2 linked regions of the Coturnix japonica genome follow. The protein of the gene in region 1 interacts with the protein of each later gene in a pairwise test. Links are inferred from orthologs where the notes say so. Each region holds a gene or a part of one and is shown on either strand. Other genes may lie near its edges. The genes, in order: KIFBP and DOK2.

Region 1 (3,735 bases):
TTCTCTGAACAGGGGGCACTGAGTTTGCTGAACAATGAGGGGATGCGAGCACTCCTTGTCACCAAATGAAAAGTCATACTCAGATCAGTTATGTTTGTTATTATCCATCAGAGAGAACCAGGCTGTTCTTATAAGGAAGTAATTATTGCTAATTTAAAAAAGGCACCTTCACTAAGCATTTGTGCACATGTTTACATACTGATTAACAAGACAGAAGGAAAGTGCATCAGAGTGGCCAATGTTGACTGTGTATTAGCCCGTCTGTGAGCTAGTGCTCCCTGCACAGTGACCTTCAGCTTCACAGCCCCGCTTCTCTGTTCTGGGAAAAGTGAATATCAGAGGAACATTCACTCCACCACACAGACACAAATATCACTGTTTAGTGGAGGAGGAAGCTGAGATAAACGTTGGTTGACTTGCCCAGAAGTCACACAAGAAATTTATGAAGTATAACCAGGACGCTTTGTCACTTTCAGTCTCACGCCTGAATTCTACAGCATAACTGTAAGTGTGCTCCCGTGCTCTGCTCATTACCCAACACATAACCTCCATTTTTGGCTTGTGAACCATATTAAATCAAACAACTGTGCAGGCACGTAGCTACAGAAGTCTGCAAACCCTCACTCAGATCTTCTGAATGTTTCATAAAATACGTTGTCTGAAAACAGCCTACAAATAAGCATAGCTCAGTTCTGACAGCCCTGTTCCCTGAAACTAAAAGTCTTTTGGACACCACCCTCAAAGGCAACTGCAGAGTTTTCTGTGTTTTTGAGCTAAGGGAAATTCTGAAAGCAATGAAACTAACTGAAGTTCAGTGACAGTGGGTTAAATAAAACTTGGCTGAACCTATTCAAAATTCAATTTCATGTGTAATAACATCATTGGATTAAAGTGCTTGTATCCTGAACAGCTCAAATCATTAGAAGCTGAACAATACACACTGTTATAAGCCAGAGTTAAGAACTCAGACTAGGGCTGCCCTGCGTGCTTGCTTACTCTCTGTGAGTTAAGCTCTGTCCCTTTTAAACTTCCATTTGCCCAAGACATGGAATGTAAAGAGCTATGCTGTAGATAAGGAAAGCATAAGCCTACAGCAGAGGATTTGAATGCTGATGCTATCACATAACTACAGATCCTTAAAGCTATAGTCATTTTTTTCTTTCCACCTTTAAAAACCATTTTTAGGAAGCATTTGTTTTGAATCATTGAATTACTGTCTTCTGACAATTCAGAAGTCAAGGTAAGCTGTATTTTACATATAAATACAAACCAGTTTATTGTAAGCAGAAGAAGACTGCTGAAAATTATCACTTGGATAAGTTTAGTACATACAAAGAGACTTCATTTTAATACAGGTACTAACAGTGCACAATTCACCTTCTTTATCATTGAACACTTCTACATGAACTTACTGTCTTCAGAAGATGGCACCTGTCCAGCCTGGCTGAAGATGACGCTGGCTGCTGCTAAGCAGTGTCGGGACTCCATAAAGCATTGCTGAGACAGATGGAAACAACAGTTTGTCACCAATGGAAGGAACAGAAAGACTGCTCTCCGCTAAACCCCCTCACCTCATGCTGTAAGAGACAGGGGCACAAGGCAAATATAGAACTGAGAGGCTCAGCAGCTTGCTCCCCAGGGCAATGGAATAAAATATGTTTTTTCCACACCTACGACTGAATACAGTATTTTAGCTAAGTATTTTTGTGCTACCACAGCCACAAGAACAATTGTGAACGTTCTCACACTGCTCTGATCTATGTTACCATCACTTCCTTTTGCCTTGTCATAGTATCACAGGGTGTTAAACAGAATCAGCTGGACAAACAAGTCAACATTACAAGTCAGATTTAGATCTCTTTACTCATATTTGCCTTGTTTAATGATTACGGTTGTCAACGCAGCAAGAAACACAGAAATCATGAATTGCTGTTGAAATCAGCATTAACAGGCTGAGGTATGGTAGAAGACTTAAGTATAGGAAGGTATCTGAGTAGTTTGGGACATAACCCCTAAAAAAGACCTGGAGCACTTCCTGGCTCAGTGGATTATTTAGAGCCAATAAAGATGTGTGGAAGCAAACCACTTCTTACACAATTAAAGCAGAAAAGCATGAGGTAAATTACCTTGGAAAGATAGTACTGTGACAAGGTAGCAGCGTTGAGCGCCCATTCTACCGGGTAGTAGCCGCAGTACTCAAGCTGTCGCTTAAGAGTAGTATGACAATACTGAGCAGCCTTCTCAGTCATCTCCAGGTGCTGGTAGACTTGGGCCAGATAATACAGTGTATGTGTATAGGCTTTTTCAAATCTGGAAAAACAAGCTCTTCAGACTTCTTTTAATTCTTTAGACCCTAAAAAAAAACACCCCCCTAAATAAAAATAAAAATCTAGGTTGCTGTTACTCACCCACCTTTTTGATCTTTCTTGGTCTGTGAGCTTTTCTTCTCCTTCTGCCATGAAATGTTCACTGGGATCCAAGGGAGGATTTCCATCCTGCATGAGTACAGAGTATGTTCAAGAAGGTGCATCTCTCTTACTTTGTGACTCCCTCTTCTGGCTGCAGACTATTTACCCACTTTCCTTTCCTAAACTGAACAGAACTTCACATAATGCATCTACTTCTATCTGACTGTCACACTTCTGATGCAATTCTATATACCTCAAGAAATTTAGGAAAAGCAGCCCATGATTTCACATGGAAATACAAGGGTTTGGCTTGTAAAAACTTGTTTGTGTAGTTTAAAATAACACATGCTACCTGCCTCAGAAATACTCACTCTTGTATTCCACAGGACTATAATTGGGAGTCTTTAGATTATACAGCACCAAAATGGCTCTACATGATGCTTTTCAAAGCATCAATTTACTGCTAAGCACATCTGCAAGCATGAAATGTTCACTTGCCTGGCAACACTAATCTGTAACGTGAAAACACTCTGCAAGAAGTAGTGCACGCAACATGATGTCAGGAGTGCTCAGCTATAAAGACTGTTTGTGCTGCCTTGATGCGACTTCAACTCCCTTTATTCACAAGCTGGTGAAACAGCAGGCAACATCTTCAGAGGATGAAGCTGTTAAATCTTAATTCAACTTGCACGAGGGTCAGGTAGATCAAGTGTTTTTTTGTTATTTAAACCAGATGTTCTGTCAGAATCCTTACATTGATATATCTTGTGATATGTACAAGACTGTCTATTTTCTTCACACAAGAACAGAAAGATACAGTTGTACACATTAACAAAAGAAAGCTATCAATATCGTGCTTAGCTGGGTATAAATATCAAAGATGAACATCAGGAATTAATTACGCTGAGGATCTGTGGAGAGATGTGGCATCTCTAGTTAGACCAACTGATCCAGAAGGCAGAAAACAGAAGATCTTTTCCATGAACATGTCTTAATTCCTTATATCCACTACCTATTCTTTAACCATAGACTAGCACAGCTACAAAGGCAGCGCAATGGCAGGGAGTAACCAATAAGGAATAACCTGTGCTGAAATTTCCAGGAGAGTAACCTGTGCTGTAAGCTGTATTCCCATAAAACCATAATTTCATGAAACTACCTTGTTTAACCTGAAACACAGAATGCTGCTCCTTTAAGGTCACTAATATTTTCAGCTCCCTCAACAACTGCCCTGTCCCCAAAGCAAGCTGGTGTTAGAAAGGCTTTGCAAAGACTGTAACAATAGCACAAGGGAGCCTTTGTCGATACACAGCAGAATCCACAACTC
Region 2 (3,244 bases), on another chromosome or scaffold:
GGATTGGGGTTTGGGTTTGCCCTCCCCTTTGGGGTGGGACATCGCTGGAGGCAGCAACCCTTAAATCTCCCCCCAAATCTCTGTTGTGATTAGCTGTGCTCCTTAATGATTTATAATCAGCATAACACAATCACGACAACGGCTCCCTAATCAGATTACACCGCTCTCCATTTGTCTGAGGCTTTGTGCTCTAATCTCTTCCCTCCTCTCTCTGCCATCGATTTGTGTTTCCTCATCTCATGCTCCACACACTCCCATGCTGAGCATTGCAAAGGGCTTTTCCAGCCTTTTTCTGGGCATTTCCAGCCTTTACATCCCCCTTTTCTGGGCTTTCCATCCCAGCTCACATCTCATTTTCCACCCAAAATAAGGAAGGAGTAAACCAGAGAGGTGGGAATCCAACCAACCCCTATGCAAAGTGATGAGCAGCTCCCTCATTAACCCAGCCCAAATCCCATCACACTCATAGGATATCGGAGTCCAAAGGTGTTACCACTCCTCCTCTTAACCAAGAGGCCGCAGGCAACGCAATGGGATTGGGAGAGGACTGTGTTAACAGCCATTAATAATAAATAACAGCCATAATGAGCTCTAATTAATTTGGTCACACGTTGAAAATCGTTTCCTTATTTCTTTTTAAGCTTATAGGGTTTTCTATACCGGAGCATCCCTGTTCTCAGCCCCTTCCATTCAACATGTGATAGATGGATTGATACACAGCTTTAATCAGTGTAATATAGAAAGCACTTAATTTGCCTTATTAAAAGTCTGCACTTTGGATTTTCAGGCTTCAGGAAATTAACTCAAGCACCTCACCATTTATTTGATTGAGTGAGAGCGAGCATAAATAATTCATGGCTTTTGCTTTGCTTTGGGTGGAAGAGCTGTAGGGGTGATGGGGAACGATCCTCATTGCAGGGACATGGCAGGGAGCAACAGAGCGACCTGTATGGGGTGCAATGTGCATCCCTGCACTGCTTGCAAGCTGGCCCTTGTAGCGTGCAATGTGCAACCTCAGAGCTGTGCGTTGCTGCCACTACGGCTTGCATGCCTTGGTCCTTACGCTGTGCATTGTGCATGGGATGGAGATGGGTTGGGGATGTTCACCACCACCCAGCTCTTACATTGAGGGATGTGCACCCCTGGGTCCTCCACCTTTTTGCTATGGGTCCCTTTGGGACGATGCTTTGCCAAGTTCTGGGTTGCACCGTGCCCTGTTCCTGAGCCTGGCAGTGCCGACCCCATAGTGTGGGTGTGCAGTGCCCTCCAGCGGCCGCAGCTGTCCAGATGTGCACAGCTGGCCATGGTCTCTCATTGCTTGTTCCTCTTCTTGGCTAATTGGAACACCACGTTGTCGTACTCGGTGTCCCCGAGCCACTCCTTGCCCTGTTGCATTGATGGGACGTTTCTCTTGGGCACGGCGTAGTCGTCCCGCTGTGGGTTATAGGGATATTGGTGCCCCAAAGGCTCCTCAGGGGCTGCCTGCAGCCTCCACGCTTCGCCCTTCACCTCCTGGGGCTCATCGTAGACAGTGTGGATGCTCACACCCTCAGGCTCATCATAGATGTGCTCCGGTTTAACGCGGGGACGAGGCAACGGAGGATGCCCACCTGCCTCTTGGATGCTGTCATACAATGGGTCTGGAGCATCAGCAGGACCATGGAGGATGCTCCCGAATTTACCGACCATCAGCGACTTGGCGATGGTATCAAAGGGGACGGCGTACTCCATTTCACCCACAGCATCCCCCCTCGTGCCCTTCTCTGGGGCTTTGGGCCCGGCCAATGTGGTGCTGTGGGTCAGGGGGCTGCAGGGTTGGCTGTAGATGCTCTTAGCGTGGTGTTCCTCCTGAACCCGCTCGGGGAGCTGGGTTTGTTGGTGTGGCCTTGTGCCTTCGTCCCCATTGCCGCCCCGTTCCCGCTGCATGGCGATGGCTGATTCGATCACCTGGAAGATCTCGTTGCCTTGTCTGGTCTCGAACTCAAAGTTCCCTTCACCTGAGGCACAACGCCGGCCGGCCTCGAAGGAGAAGGTCACCTGGAGGAGGGGAACAGCAATGTCCCTCAAGGAGAAGGGAGAGGTGGAGATTGGGGGATGTGGTGAGTGGGCACCATGGGGATGGGGTTGGGGATGGGGTTGGGGATGGGATGGGGTTGGGGATGGGGTTGGGGATGGGATGGGGTTGGATTGGGGTTGGGATGGTTGGGGATGGTTTGGGGGTTGGGGATGGGTTGGGGATGGGTTGGGGTTGGGGATGGGTTGGGGATGGGTTGGTTGAACTCTGAGATCTCGGTGGTCTTTTCCGACCTCAGTCATTCTGTGGATCAACAGTTGGATATGATGATCCTAAAGGGCTTTTCCAACCTTGATGACTCTATGGGGACTGTGGGGATGGGTCAGCAGTTGACTTGATGACCATAGCGGTCATTTCCAACCTTAGTGACTCTATAGGCACCATGGGGATGGGTCAACAGTTGACTTGGTGACCTTAGTGGTCATTTCCAACCTTAGTGACCCTATAGATACTACGGGGATACCAACAGTTGACTTGATGACCATAGAGGTCTTTTCCAACCTCAACAACTCTATGAGCACAGTGGGGATGGGATGACAGACTTGACAACCCTGGAGGTCTTCTCCAACCCCAATGACTTTATGATGCTATGATTCCCACCACCCCCCGCCCACCATAATCCCACCCTTTGAGCGCCCCCTTTACCTTGTCCCTCCCGAAGCGCCTGAGGAAGCGGTAGGGCCAGCTGTAAAGGACATCCCTGCTCTGCACACCCCGCAGCTCCAAGGCTTCCTCTCCTGCCCTCAACACAAAGCGGCCCCGCAGGCGGCAGCGCTCCGAGGACTCGGTGGCCCTCAACGTCACCTCAAAGTCTTGCTCCACTCCTGGGGGTGGAATGAGGAGGAAAGGGAGGTTTTATAGGGAGCCCCATAAGGGAAGCGGTGTCTGGCTGATAAAGGCAAAACCTGCAGTGAAACCCAGCCCAGCCAAACCACAGAGCAGGAAAAGCACCCAAAGGCCATTTCTGGATGTTGTGCTGCCTGCAGGATGCTGCTCACCCCCACACACGGCCCCCTCCCCACACACAGACACTCGCCTTTGCCCCTGGAGCTGTACAGGGAGTTTTCAGCCACGGAGAAGTCGCCGTCGGAGCTCAGCTGTCTGTCCTTCCCCACTGCCTGCTCCTCCTGGCTCCTCTGCAAGGAAAGGGTAAGGGCTGAGCCACGGCTC

Evidence for each region.
Region 2: the proteins of KIFBP (region 1) and DOK2 interact in a two-hybrid assay, tested with the Homo sapiens proteins (2 studies listed by BioGRID and IntAct). The two-hybrid records come from large-scale screens. The link is inferred for Coturnix japonica from reciprocal best matches to the Homo sapiens genes KIFBP and DOK2.

What each region holds. Positions count from the first base shown.
Region 1 is NC_029521.1:8,810,152-8,813,886, reverse strand, and holds part of KIFBP (KIF-binding protein), read right to left. Parts: intron 2,496-3,735; coding exon 2,413-2,495; intron 2,311-2,412; coding exon 2,127-2,310; intron 1,498-2,126; coding exon 1,413-1,497; intron 1-1,412. UniProt on the Homo sapiens protein: Activator of KIF1B plus-end-directed microtubule motor activity. Required for organization of axonal microtubules, and axonal outgrowth and maintenance during peripheral and central nervous system development.
Region 2 is NC_029537.1:2,729,299-2,732,542, reverse strand, and holds the end of DOK2 (docking protein 2), read right to left. Parts: intron 3,224-3,244; exon of another isoform or gene 3,211-3,223; coding exon 3,111-3,210; intron 2,899-3,110; coding exon 2,720-2,898; intron 2,038-2,719; coding exon 1,312-2,037; 3' UTR 799-1,311; downstream 1-798. UniProt on the Homo sapiens protein: DOK proteins are enzymatically inert adaptor or scaffolding proteins. They provide a docking platform for the assembly of multimolecular signaling complexes. DOK2 may modulate the cellular proliferation induced by IL-4, as well as IL-2 and IL-3.